Linked DNA regions of Arabidopsis thaliana. The main gene of each other region encodes a partner of the protein of the gene in region 2 in a complex. Each region holds a gene or a part of one and is shown on either strand. Other genes may lie near its edges. The genes, in order: PBG1 and PAA2.

What was found.
Region 1: PAA2 (region 2) and PBG1 share a complex: the UniProt entries of both Arabidopsis thaliana proteins name them as parts of the 20S core complex.

What each region holds. Positions count from the first base shown.
Region 1 is NC_003070.9:21,138,586-21,146,247, reverse strand, and holds PBG1 (20S proteasome beta subunit G1), read right to left. Parts: upstream 4,616-7,662; 5' UTR 4,279-4,615; coding exon 4,270-4,278; intron 4,160-4,269; coding exon 4,095-4,159; intron 3,992-4,094; coding exon 3,915-3,991; intron 2,936-3,914; coding exon 2,806-2,935; intron 2,721-2,805; coding exon 2,561-2,720; intron 2,478-2,560; coding exon 2,292-2,477; intron 2,176-2,291; coding exon 2,062-2,175; 3' UTR 1,790-2,061; downstream 1-1,789. Other genes in the region: TPR5 (Tetratricopeptide repeat (TPR)-like superfamily protein), read left to right, coding at 4,766-4,807, 5,048-5,146, 5,232-5,360, 5,445-5,569, 5,701-5,822, 5,927-6,009, 6,098-6,310, 6,497-6,634 and 4 more. UniProt on the Arabidopsis thaliana protein: Non-catalytic component of the proteasome, a multicatalytic proteinase complex which is characterized by its ability to cleave peptides with Arg, Phe, Tyr, Leu, and Glu adjacent to the leaving group at neutral or slightly basic pH.
Region 2 is NC_003071.7:2,230,606-2,237,783, reverse strand, and holds PAA2 (20S proteasome subunit PAA2), read right to left. Parts: upstream 3,766-7,178; 5' UTR 3,559-3,765; coding exon 3,483-3,558; intron 3,401-3,482; coding exon 3,306-3,400; intron 3,225-3,305; coding exon 3,143-3,224; intron 3,079-3,142; coding exon 2,982-3,078; intron 2,907-2,981; coding exon 2,848-2,906; intron 2,766-2,847; coding exon 2,683-2,765; intron 2,377-2,682; coding exon 2,281-2,376; coding exon of another isoform or gene 2,251-2,280; exon of another isoform or gene 2,092-2,250; coding exon 2,032-2,091; coding exon of another isoform or gene 2,030-2,031; intron 1,824-2,029; coding exon 1,731-1,823; 3' UTR 1,314-1,730; downstream 1-1,313. Other genes in the region: AT2G05830 (NagB/RpiA/CoA transferase-like superfamily protein), read right to left, coding at 5,945-6,025, 6,106-6,374, 6,470-6,608, 6,878-6,983, 7,174-7,178. UniProt on the Arabidopsis thaliana protein: The proteasome is a multicatalytic proteinase complex which is characterized by its ability to cleave peptides with Arg, Phe, Tyr, Leu, and Glu adjacent to the leaving group at neutral or slightly basic pH.

The DNA.
Region 1 (7,662 bases), on a different chromosome or scaffold from region 2:
CACAGACAGGGTTTACCGCTAAACAGTAATATTTATATACTCAGGGCCTTATATTTCGCTTATTTTGTCGTAAATCGGCCCATTACAAAACTGCACTCTCCCTCACATCTCTCAAGTGTCTAACGATAATGTATGTTTATGTTATTATTATAGAGATTGCAAAACTTGAGAAGGTAGTGGTACGTGTACAAGCAATATATGTTTTGGTTTTTGTATATGTTACTTAACATTTTGGATTGAAATCTGAAAGTATGTTTTATTGTTGCATTGTAATGTGTTGTTTGCAAATAATTTAAAAAAAATAAAGAAACATAATGAGTTCATAGGACTGAATTTTCTAATATTTGATAAAAATGTTAGTATATATTTGTTTATGTTTTTTTGACATCTTTGAATCGAGAAAATTCGATCCATAGTCAATCTTTACTACGCGGGATAACGCGATTTAGTGGAGTCAAACTACGATGGGAAATATGGAATCAAATAGACTTAACCACTTGAGTAAAGGCACTTCCCCATTTATTTATATTTATTATATAAATTAAAGCATGTTTATATTAGTTTGACATACGTAAAATTTTCTATTTACAAAAGAAAAAGAAAGAGTTTTTCCCAATCCCAACAATCTGCAAAGAACTCTTTTAGACATGTACTTATTCTAACATTTATATGAAAACGTCTTAATTATTCAAATTACATACTCTAACTGTCGATTTTTATGCATAATTTCAAGTCGTTATTAACGGACGTTAGTCAATCGGGATATATGTTGACTCAGTTGTCACGTGTGTGATAAGTTGGCAATTTTTCTTTGTAAAACGACCATGTTTGGTGGTTGGTATTGTATATGCTTAAATTTGTAAAAGATCTAAGGTTTGACTAAACGAAGTTTACAAAGTAGAATCGCCACTTTGTTACACACGTGTCAATTAAGTCAACATTTGTAACAGTTGACTAATATTTGTTAATTTACGATTCTGAATACGCATAAAATCGAGAGTTGGAGTATCTAATTTGAATATTTAAGACGTGTGTAGAAATGAGCACTAGTAATAGTCGTTAGGGTATTTTCATGAGTATAAATTTCATGAAAAATAATATAAGAAATTAAAATCTAAATTATTTGTAATTTGATCAAAAATGATAACACAATAGTCGGAAATTGATTTTAGAAAAGTTAAATTATAATTTAAATAATTATTGGAATTTTAAAAGAACTATAAAATTCAGCGTTCAAGAAAACGGGTTATAAATTTCAAGAAAATATACAACTTGTTACGTTTACAAGTTCAAGAAAACTACTCACCCTATGAATTTAATAGATCTTGTAACTATTAGACCATTTCCATTAGAAGTTTTTCACAAGAGTTTTTCACAACTAAAAAAATAAAAATATTAAAAATGAAAGAGAAAGAAGGTAGAAAGTTTCTCACTTGAGAAACTATGAGATACTCTCTACAACTCATCATGACATTTCTCTCTTTATCATTAGTTCAGTTTTTAACTAAAATAAAAAAAATTAATCATATAATAAAACTTTATTTTTTTGTTTGTTTGGAAAACTCTTTGAATTTCTAATGGAGATGCTCTTAAAAACCTATTTGACTAGATAATAACCTGATGGAATTTGTACTTTTGGAATTTGGATTCAATTAGGAGATGAATAATGCATATCACGAAATGGAGTTGTTAATACTTTACTTGTTAAGAATTTACTGAAATAATTATGATTAATAAATAATGAGAGAGTAGGTTCCAATAGATGATTTATTAATTTTATGAATTTGTGTGCAAATTGTGTCAACTTCACTTAAAATGAGAAAAGAGAAAGGAGACCAAAAAGCGATGGAGAACGATCAACAATGAACAAAGGTATGGATTACTACCCAAAGATATCCAGTACTTTTTATAAATCCTCATTGATCTAAACTCTGGACTGTCAGAAAGAAACCACCAAGTTTAATAGTAAAACAACTACAGTACAAAGTGTTTAACAACATCACATAAAATAAAATAAAAGCTTCCTTAAAAGATCGCCAGCCGATGTGGTTGCTTGGCTTCTTACCAGGAGCCTGCAGCACCAGCAGTTGGGTTGTGGAATGACGAGAATTCCCAGTATGTCTTCAATGAGTATGGCTGTGAGACCGTCACGCCCTCTTCCGTGATCTTCGCTATCTGCACAGTTTTCATATTTTCTGTTATTACAATCCTTATGAAGAACTTCTACCAAACTAAACAAAGATTATACGAGATGAGATAACGGTAAACAAAACTTGTTATTAGAGACAAACCTGAAGCTTGTTAATAGCAGATCTGTCACGGTAAAGAAGCACACGCATACATTTCTCAAGTAGCTTGACACCATCTTCAAAACTCAGGTCTGCATGCCACTCATCACGAAGAATTGGCCTAGCAAGGTGGTTTCCAAATCCAGTGGCAACATGATCGTCCTCAAAACTAACACCAATCATTGACACCTAGAGAGAAGCAAATGGATCCAAATCAATAGTTACATTCATAAGAAAATTTTATATATGTGACTTGAAAGACTGAGACGTACCATTCCAAGGTAACTTTTCCCATTTTTGACGCCTCCAAGGACGAGAGTGTTCCACAGAGGGTTAAACTTGTTGCGACGGTTGTACATCACACGGGTCAGATAGTTGTGAATCTCTTTTGGTCCCAAAGAGTTACCATCATCCCACATGTTATCATTCAGGCTGTGTAAAACCAAGGGCTTGTGAGGCTTGATAATTGACAAGGAAAGATTAAAATATAAAAAAATTGAACCAAACGGATTCTTACGTGAGCTCATCAAGATAACGGAGAATCTCCTGAAAGTCGCTGATTTCTCCGCTGGCACCAAGAAGAGAATGCTTACCAATAGCCTTCACTCTCTCGATGTTCTTGTATCTTAAGGTTGATCCATATGAACCTGCATGCAAAAATTTGAAAGTGAGTTGATGGCACAATATCGTAATTTCCCTGGTGCATAAGTCCCAGGAAACCAGGATCACACCATTAGAACATAAAAGAATAATCCAAGCTACATAGATATACCATCAAAATTATTAACCGTACAAACAAATGACAGCTCTTACTTATTGTGAGTCGGTGTTAAGATATGAGAAATCAAACTATTTCAATGAACATAGCTAAGTACTGGTTGATGGTTGTAACGTTAATTCTCAGTTGTCATCTCTTGACCTAATTAACAATGGATGGCACACAGGGAACCGAAACAAAAGCAAAAAGATCTAGAAACAGTCAAGACTTTTCAACATTATTCTCTGGATCATTCATAAAAGAAGCCTCAATTCTTAGTTTACCCTAAATCTAACAATATTAAAGAGACGAAACAGGAACAACCAAAGAACTGTAACATTCTATGTTGGAAAGATAACGTAGCTAAGAAAACAAATGCAAGGGGGATGTGAAACTAATCTCATAAAAAACAAAAAGCAATTGCTTGTCTATATGTTTAGCCCAAAATACATATTATTATCAATCAAGCAGCTAATAGACATAACAAAACCTGTTCTGCATAATAGTGTTTGACCCTAATTCACTGAATCGTCTATAAAGATGCAAAAATCAAATTTGACCAAAAGAATCAAACCATACTTAAAAATGTAGCAGAAAAGACACTAGAGAAATGAAATTTGAAGGATTCATACGCATGAAACGAGCATATCTGAAACACATGATCTATTCACTGACTTGTGATGATCTCTCACAGAGAAAAAGAAACAGATTTAACCAAACAAACACCAAGAGAGGCAAAACAAACGATTCAAGCAATCAAGCTTATAACAGATGTAAATCTAAACATACATTGCAAAAATTTGTGCATACATTAAACCAATACAAATACTTAACCAAATAAAGAGCTGAAACTAGGAGCTGAGACATACCTCCCATATCAGAAGCCATCAAAACCCCATCTTTGTACTTGATTGCAACAATTGAAGTTCCAGTAACATATGGGTACCTAAACAAAAAACCAAAACAAAACCCTAATAAATTCAAAATCGAATCCCAAATTTTCTCAAAATCGAAAACCCTACATAAGCATAAGAGTAAGAGATTTTTACAGTGTTCTTTGTGATTCTTCTTCTGCGATCTTCATAGAATCTCCGTTATCAATCGGAACAGAAAACTGCTCAGAAGAAGAAACAAAATCAAAATCAGGAAAACGAAATCAAACCTAGAAGGATCAGAAGCAGAGATAGTAATAAGAACATTGAAGACGAGATTGATCTGACTTACAGTCGTCATATTCTCGAAAAATATCGTAGTGAGCTTTAGGTTCTTCTTCTTAAGATCTGATGGTTTTGGTTTTGTTTACCTCACTAAAAAGACTTCTGTGATTTCCTTTCGCTCAAGAAACATAGCGAATCGGGCCTGACCCGGTGTTTACCGGTTTAACCTGGTTATTCACCCGATCCGATTTGATCTCACACACTAATATCAATTTATTGGTTTAATACGGTTCTTTACCTGACCCGACCTGACTCAGTTTCACACGTAGAGGTGTCAAACGGGCCGGTTTATTCTCGATTTGACCCGACCTACCCGATCTCAACCAATATTATCGATTTAACCCGGTTACTGACATGACCCCACCCGACATTACTCAAATATCGGAAAGCCCAAGTCCAATACTGTAGTTCAAAATTGAACTCTGTGACTTTCTCAGTCTTCTTCTAGAATCATCTTTGCTCTTTCTCGTCGACTATTTGCTCGCCGGAGAATCTCTCTCAGAATGGCTAGGTCACCGAGCAAACACGGCCGCGATCAAACTCAGGTAACCATTTCTACTCGATTCATCTTTCTTACATGAATCTTCTCTAGCTAAAATCTCTGTTTACTCGAGAATGAAAAAGGAAAAAAATCGAAACGACTCGTGCTCCTTATCTCCACTTCGTTATCTAGATTTCATGGAGATTGTTAGTTCAACGAACTGTTGTACAATCGATTATGTATATAGACTAAGAACGAATTAGATGTTTACTTGCATCGTTTGGTTTCGAATTTTTTTTTCCAGGATTTCCAGGGATTTTTCAATGACTTGCAGGATTGGGAACTCTCATTGAAGGATAAAGACAAGAAGATTAAGCAACAACCTGCTAATTCGTCGAATCCGGTTCGTTCTTTTGTGTATATACAGAAGTGCTCTCATTTGTAAAACTTAATGCATCCTTATGAGATTCCTTGTTTTGAACTTTCAGAGTAGTGAGACGTTCAGACCAAGTGGGTCAGGGAAATATGACTTTGCTAAAAAGTATCGTTCCATTAGGGATTTGTCGAGTAGTTTGATTGGAGAAAGTCTATTGGATTCTAGTTCAGAGAAGGAGCAGGTACTTTCTCTTCTTCAAGCTTTGTTTTTGTTATGTGATATTCTCGTGATGCAATCTTTCTCATGGACCTCTCTTGGAATACAGGGTAATGAATTCTTCAAGCAGAAGAAGTTCAATGAGGCGATTGATTGTTACTCTCGGAGCATTGCTTTATCGCCAAATGCTGTGACTTATGCAAATCGAGCAATGGCTTACCTTAAAATCAAAAGGTTTGCTCATTGTCTGTTTCATTGGTTTTATTCATTCATCACTGTGACTCTTGTGTGTGTCCACTTGTCTTCCATTACCTGATCCTCTTTAAGCTATATTTTCTGACTTTGTAAAATGATTCTTACATTAGATATCGAGAGGCTGAGGTTGACTGCACAGAAGCTTTAAATCTGGATGATCGATATATAAAAGCTTACTCACGCCGAGCAACAGCAAGAAAAGAACTCGGCATGATTAAAGAAGCCAAAGAAGGTATCCCTCGCACCCATATAATCATTCATTCTGTTCTGTTAAGATACATACAATTTCTTTATTACATGTTGCTGCATATGTAAGGTGATTAAAATTATTCGCAGATGCTGAGTTTGCCTTAAGATTGGAGCCTGAGAGCCAGGAACTTAAGAAGCAATATGCCGATATCAAATCTTTGCTCGAGAAAGTAATATTTTCATATGCTTCTTTGCTGCATTTTTGCCAGGTTAATTTTAAATGCTTCACAAATACTTAACTTTTTGAATTTTGAGCAGGAAATCATTGAGAAAGCCACTGGAGCAATGCAAAGCACTGCACAAGAATTACTCAAAACATCAGGTTTAGATAAGAAAATACAAAAGCCAAAGACAGAAATGACTTCAAAGCCAGTGACCCTAGTGGCCAAAACGAACAGGGATATTGTTCAGCCTGTTCTAGGTAGCAATGAAAGTTCGGGAAAGAAGCTCATTGAAAATATACAACCTGAGGTATATTTCAAGTTTATTTTGTTTGATATAAGTTAAGTTCAAAAGTGCACATCTAAAAGGTCGTGTAGAATTAGTTTTACTAGTAAAGTTTGTCGGATATTATTATCACATGGAAACTTTATCTTTAGTTAGCATAGATGGAATTTTCGAGAGCTTATCTCATTATACTTGTCATGCTATCTTCAGGAGAAAAGCAAAGAAGGTTCCATGAAAATTCCAGCTATCACGGAAATTCTAGACAGCAAGAAAGTGACGCCTGGAAGCCAAAGTTATGAAAAGGAGGCGAAGCCTTCTGACAGAAATGGTACTCAGCCTTCTGGACCGGTAAGTAATGGTGGTCTAAGTGTTAAAAAGGTTGATGTGGTACAAAAAAATCCACTCTGATGCTACAAAACTTGTCCCCATTCTAATGTTACAGGAAAACCAGGTTTCTAAACAGCTGGAACTAAAGCCATCAGTACAAGAGCTTGCTGCTCATGCAGCGTCACTTGCGATGACTGAAGCTTCTAAAAACATTAAAACCCCAAAATCTGCTTACGAATTTGAGAACTCTTGGCGGAGTTTTTCCGGCGACAGTGCCCTACGAAGCCAATTGTTGAAGGTTTGAAATACCACCTGCAAAAAAATAAACTCAATCCCTAAATAACAGTGCAACTCACCAGGTTTGTAAATATATCAGGTCACGACTCCGAGCTCTTTACCTCAGATTTTCAAGAACGCCCTGACCTCTCCGGTGCTGGTTGACATAATCAAATGTGTAGCCTCATTCTTCACGTGAGTAAACTGACCATTTGCATTCTGGTTCTCCAAAAAATCTTGTAATAATTGGTGCTTATGGTTTCTTGCTTGTTGCAGTGAAGACATGGATTTGGCAGTTAAATACATTGAGAACCTAACAAAGGTTCCTAGATTCAACATGCTCGTCATGTGCCTTACCTCAACCGAGAAAAACGGTACTCCCTTTCTTCTTCATGTCATGTCAACGATCTTTAATATGATCAAAGCATATACATGTAGTGTAAATGACCTACATCATAACAATTGTGATATCTGATTTCTCTTGGTGCAGAGCTACTGAAGATATGGGAAGATGTTTTCTGCAATAAAGCAACCCCAATGGAGTATGCAGAGGTCTTAGACAAACTAAGGTCAAGATACTGCCTTAAACAGTAACTTAGTAGATGGCTCTTTTTAGTAGTGTACATGGTGAAGATTTTGCACACCCAGTAGGCCAGTAAGCATTTTGGATGATAATGAACCAGTTTTTTGTTCATATATTTACCGAAAGAACCGAAAAAACTTAGAATGTTAAAATGGGTATATGTTGCTCGGGGTTTTCTTTTGGTTTACAT
Region 2 (7,178 bases):
TGTACGAAAGAAGAATGAAAACGGTGAAATTGTAAGGCATAAAGTCGCACAAGGATTCCCACAAAGACCCGGAATTGACTATGAAGAGACATACTCTCTTGTGGTGGATGCAACTACATTTTGGTTCCTTATTAGTCTAGCAGTAAAAGAAGGACTTGATTTATGTTTGATGGATGTAGTCACAACCTATTTATACGGTCCACTGAAAAATGACATTTATATGAAAATCCCAGAATGATTTAAAATGTCAGAAGCAGTACAATCAAATTCTCGAGAACAATACTGCATAAAATTAAATCGATCCCTTTATAAATTAAAACAATCATGGTGTATGTGGTATAATCGCCTTAGTGACTTGCTAAAAGAATATACAAAAAAAGACTATGTTAGTCCATGCATCTTTATAAACAGATTTGGGAAATGATTTGTTATAATTGTAGTTTATGTTGATGATTTAAATATTATGGGAACTTCTGCAGAGATCTCCTTCACAGTAGAATATTTAAAGAAAGAATTTGAGAAGAGAGATTTTGGAAAAACAAAATTTTGTTTGGGACTACAAATTGAACACCTAAATAATGTAATTCTGGTGCATCAAGAGACATATACAGAAAATGTTCTCAAAAGATTCTACATGGATGGAGCAGTCCCCTTGAGTAGCCCAATGGTTGTAAGGTCACTTGATGTGGATAAAGATCCATTATGTCCTCGGGAAAACAATGAAGGAGTTCTTAGTCCTGAAATATCATACTTAAGTGCAAGTTCATGTCCAACTCGAAGACATTGGAATGGAATTAAACATATACTTCGTTATCTCCAATGTAAGAAAGACATGAGTCTGCTTTTTCCTAACCAATTTAGAAGATTTAATTGGTTTTGCAGATGCAGGATACTTATCTGATCTCCATAAGGTTTTGCAGATGCAGGATATTTATCTGATCTCCATAATGGTAGATCGTAAACAGAATATGTCTTCACATGTATTGCTATTTATTGGCGTTCTATGAAGAAAACTGTTGCAGCCACATCTTCTAATCATTCAGAGATTTTAGCAATTCATGAAACTAGCCGCAAGATTTTTAGCGTGTATGGCTAAGATCCATAGTTACCATATACAAAAAGATTGTGGTATCTATGCAAGGAAAAAAGCTCCAACAATTATGTACAAAGACAATGCAGCATGCATCGCACAACTCAAAAACATATACATCAAAGGCGATAGAACAAAGGACATCTTACCAAAATTCTTCTTCACACGACCTTTTGAGTTTTATGCTCAACTATATCAGTATCGCAATCAAGGGTGGCAGAGAGTCGAGGGTAAGCTATAGCGTAGACTCTTTAACAAGCCTACGAATAAAGGAATTTCACCTCCAAAAAACGTTTCAGTCAAGCTCTGTTCATTGAGTTGGACTCGGACATCAAAATGCAGAGTTCCTTTAGGAGATTATGTTAAAGACCAAGTGTCCAGGTTTTGCAGATTTCCCAATTTTTGTAAATAACTTTCTTTGTTTTGCCTTTTAAAATTCAAAACCTTAAACCATCTCATTCGACCTTAATTTGACACCCTTACATGTAACTCCTATTAGGAGGAAGCAGATGATTCAAATGAAAACTACACGACTCATGACTAATGGAAACACGTTTCTCTGAAACGTGAATCATCTTAGATAGATTTAAAGCAAAAGAAAGAGATGCAAAGTCCCGACTGAATGTTCCAGTGAAAGTGATCAGTCACGTTCACTAATGGCCGTCAAGTGCTCGTCGATCTCCTCTGTTCTCAGGGAACGGAAGAGAGGGTCATCAGCTCTCACAACTCCCACCTGCCAACACAACAGTAGCCAGCATAAATATTTACATGCCTTTTCACAAAGCTTTAACAAAACTACATTTCCATTGGTTTCTCCTTCTTTATTCCTAACCACGATACAACTCTGGCTAACACGATTCGACTCTGGCCAACATATATACAAAATACTACTCTTGCCAACATTTATACAAAAAGGAGTACAGATAGTGGAGAATTGACACCTCAATTTCAGTTGCTTTGAAGTCTTCTTGAAGAACAGATTGGAGAGCGGATATAGCAGTCTACAAAAGTTGATAACTCAAAGTCAGATATAATGGTCTAGGTCTGTCACAGAATTTTGGTGTTTTGTGCGTTCCTACAGTTTCTAAACCTAATATAAAACAATAAAGCTTTTAAAGTGCAAGCAAATGAACATTGCAAATGATCAACCTGCTTCCGATCTAAAATAAAGAAGGATTGTCCATAATTACCTGTACTGTTTCATCATATGTGAAGGCAGGGTTTTCTTTCATTTTCTTCTCCAAGAAATTGACTGCTTCTTGTTCTTTCATACCAGCACTAGTTGCCTGCATCATATGTTTGCTAACTTATAAGTGGAGAAACTTTATATAGAAGCCTCTGATCCTATGGAACATATGTACCACGTATGTGACTACATCATATTTCACAGGTTTACAGTGTGTAGAACTTTTGGTTTCACCTCCATGGTCAACCAGTAACTCTTAAAAGCAGATAAGTTTCTCAGTACAGTATCTGGTTAGGCAAGTGCAATATAATGTTTCTTTCTTCCATGTTAGCAAAGGCAGTAGTCTATACGAATATGCATGTAAGAGGCAGAGGCTTATCTAATCATAACAAGTAGGTGGTATTACCTTGTGACCGTAAAAATGTCCAGCTGGGTCACACTTGTAAAGTAGAGGTCCTCTCTCTTCATCAATACCTAGAACCATGGCAACTTCACAAAGACAAAGAAAACAAGAATCAGGATAAAACCACCACACAAGTAAAATGTATAAATAGGGATTAGGGAAACTTGCCTACTCCAAGGGGTCTCATGTAAGCATGTTGTGTGTAAACCTGAGACTTATCTGCAATCCTGTCACAGCACAATAGTTCAGTATTAGTAACTTTCATAAGTGTAGAGAGACACATAGAGTCTGTAATTAATTACCATTTAGCAAGAATATCTGCAGGCATCTCATAACCATATTGGAACCTAAACTCAGCAGCCTCATTCCTAGCTTGTTGTACCAATGACCTTGAATCAGCTGCAACCCCAGAAAGATCAAAACATGACCATAATGAACAAGCATTGTGATGAGAAATACAAACCTGTCATGCCAGTGGCTAACAATCCAAGGTACTTGGTAACAGGGAAAAGGTGAGATACACTAGACTGATCCAAAAGCTTGTCCTGCCCACAAATCATTCATCAGATCCCTAATTCAAAACCCTCACTTGAACAAAAACCCTAAGGAGTCAAAAGAGGACTCACCGGAACTTTCTTCTGCGTAACGACGCATACTGAATCTTTCCCTCGGACACCGATCGATGTGATTCCAGCTGCTTTCACGGCTTTGAAAGCATACTCTACAAAATCCGTAACCAGTAATATCAATCTCCGAAGTTATAAATTAAAAAAACAAAAAAGATAGAGAAATTGATTACTGACCGACTTGGAAGAGACGACCTTCCGGTGAGAAAATAGTGATGTGACGATCGTAACCAGCGCCGCTTCCTCTGCTCATCTTCTTCTTCTCAGAGAAGAGAACAACTCTCTTCCGAAATCGGAGATGGAATTTTTGCTTCTGTGTGATCTGTAGAGAAAGATGTATTATAGAAGAAAGCTTTCTTTGTCTTCAAGACAGAACCCAAAAAAAAATAGTCAATCTCCCAAAATACCCTTGAAATAATAAGTTAAGATTACAATTATCTTCGAAAAAACTCTAAAATACTCCCTGGGGCTGCAACTTTACATTTCACGTTAAAAGAATGCAGAATAATTATATAAAATTAAAAAAATACACAATATAATTTTTTTTGATATTATTAAACTTTTAAATTTTGATAAATAATATATCAAATCAAAATTCTTGATATGAGTAGTTTAACTATTTATTTTTTAAAAAATTTCAAAAACAAATGTTTTTACGTTTACAATATGTAAAATTGTAAAAATTGACTATATTACGTATTATTTTAAATTTCATATAATTATTTTGTTTTTTTTGGACATAGAGTATAAAGTTGCAAAATTGGACGGAAATTTTTTTTGCACAAAATACTTTAATTAACTAACGCCGCAATGAGAAGACGCCCGATCTTGCAGGATCAAGAACGAACTGAAACGAAACAAGTAAAAGAAGAACATGCAAACGACCTCGCGGCGAAGACAACCATGTTTACATTTGTAGATGAATCTACTAGAGTACTTAAGAAAGCCAAGAGTGAATACAAAGGACATAGGAGGTCTCTATTGTTGACAATGCAGCGTCAAGATGTAATTGACAGGTATATGAAAAGAGATAATATACTTTGTTTAGCCAAACCTTCAGGTGAATAACTAACTCTTGTTTTTGATGGCACTATCAACAAGATAATCCTCCTCATAGTTGGATTTTCTCTCTTTGTCTTTGTTTTTGTGTAGGTTGTATCAAAATGTATATATCGGAATTCTGAAACTCTTAACGAATGGCTACTGCTGACGGTTGTTTCTAGATGTGTCAAATGGTCCGTCCAAAGACCATTGGGCGTGTCCGTACGGACAGTTTTTTTATGGGCCAAGTTGGACGGTTTGGTCCGAAAAATGTCCATGCCCAATAAAGACCATGTCCATATGGCAAGCCCATGGTTAGCCTATTTTATTATTGTTATTATTGATAAATCAAAAATCATAAATTTAAAGAAAAATTGAGAAATTGCATTTTTCCGTAAAAATTGTAGAAATCGAAGACTTGTCTTTTTTCGACAAAATGGTAAAATTGTGTTTTTCTTACCAATACAATAAAATCACGATTTTGACGAAAAAATTATGGAATTGCTTTTTTCGCCAAAACGGTAAAATCGTAAAATTATTTTTTTCACCGATACAAAAAAATAACGATTTAACCGCTAAAACCGTAAAATCGGAGAATTGTGTTTTCTCACTAAAACTGTAAAATTGTGTTTTTCGCCAATATAATAAAATCACGATTTTGGCTGGAAAATTGTGTTTTCCCGCCAAAACCGTAAAATCAGAGAATTGCGTTTTCCCGTCAAAACCGTAAAATTGTGTTCTCGCCAATATAATAAAATCACGATTTTGGTGGAAAATTTGCAGAATTACGTTTTTCCGTCAAAATCGTAAAATCGGAGAATTGTATTTTTCCCGTCAAAACCGTAAAATTTAAAAATTGCGTATTCCAGAAAATTGTGGAATACTATCTTTCCTTTAAAATCGTAAATAATTTAATAAGAAATAATTCATTAAAATTTAAAATTTTCAGAAAAGTAAAAACTTATAAATGTAAAATATATTATTTAAAAATTATTTAGTTGTAATTGTAATTAAAATTATAAAAATACAATTAAATGAAGACATGTCTATTGACTCAATTCATGCCCATGGGCAGCCCGTTGTCCATATGGTCAAGCCCATATTATCCGTGGACAAAACTGGTCATATGCCCAATTAGACCATTTGTTTTTTGGTCCAGAATATAGCTCGTCCATATGCATTTGGTCTAAAGTTCAGAATTATCAAAAAATTGATAAAGTCGAGGCATTTCGAATTGTTTGTTGACACAGAACAAGGAAAACCTCTGAAATTATTTCAATATTGACGGGTAGGAGAAACGGTATTCTTTTCTTAAACTTAAAAAAATAGAGAAATAAGAACCAAGTCAAGATGGACCGGGCAAGCCCATGGACAAGTTGTTTTACACTAAAACAAGTTGTTTCCCAATCTTCATTAGCATTAAACCCAAGACCAGCATTTTGGCTACCTACAATTGGCTAAAACGTATCGATTATTTCTTATTTTTGACAATTTTTACCACAGTGTACTTAGTAGCTCAAACATTACAAAGTAATTTGCTTTGTTGCAAGTATATAGAGAGAGGGGAACATCCGCAAGTCGCAATGCTGACTCTAACTTCAACGAGATGAGTTTCCTGTTATCTTCTTGGCAAAGCTGCTTATGTCAAATGTATCATTGCCATTCTTTGTTATGACCCCCTGCATATACAAACACGTTGAGAGATTCAAATAAATGAGCATAAATATCTTCCAGAACAAGCAAGGCTGGAAAAACGAACTTTCTCGGTTATGATTCCTGCAATCAGCTCTGCTGGAGTCATATCAAAAGCTGGGTTCCAAACTGAGATCCCTGGTGCTGCAATGCGTTCACCAAGTCCTCCGTGTGTGTGCATCAACTCCTTTGGAGATCTTTCCTCTATCACGATTTCTTTCCCGGATGAAAGTGACAGATCAACTGAGGTAAGAGGTGCAGCAACATAAAATGGGATCCCGTGATGTTTTGCGCACAAGGCGAGACTGTAAGTCCCAATCTTGTTAGCAGTATCGCCTGGAGTATATCAATGAATTGGTTAAGAAGTGATTCAGTCATAAGGAATCAGATTTGTGAGAGAAAACGGATTTATCTAAGGTGTTTGAGTGTACCATTTGAAGCCACACGATCAGCTCCAACGATGACACCATCAACACGACCATCTTTCATCAGTGCAGCTGCAGCTGAGTCTGCAATGAGAGTTGCAGGGATTTTCTCATGCACCAACTCAAACGCTGTAAGCCTCGATCCCTGTCAATTGCCATTTAGTCATAAATTCAAAAGACTTTCAACAACAGTTCAACAAGATATGAAAACTCTATAAAGCAATGGATTCAGGGAGCTGCCACAAGAAGTATCTGTCCTACGTTCCTTCATGGTTTTGAAGCTTTTACCACCGTTTTGATAAGAACACATATGTCAATATAGAGGTAATTATCGTCCCTAACAACTTAAGGTATTCTACGGATTCTTCTTCTTACGATATTGAGAAAGAAAAAGTATTAATTTAGGAGTTTTACTTGATTAAATGGACGAGTTTCTGTGCAGTATGCTCTTTCTAAGATTCCTTGAGTATGGAGTGCACGGATGACACCGAGGGCAGTACCATATCCGGCGGTAGCAAGGCTACAAAGTCAATAGAACTCGTAGTTAATGCCTTACTAGGAATCTACCACATAAACATAACACCAAAAACCATTACACAACTCTATTGGTTGAAGCTGCATACACATATGTGGTAACATGCTATTACTCAACTTGAGTAACTTATGCAGACGGTATCTATGCAATTCAGAAAATCTAGCTAAATCAATACCTGCC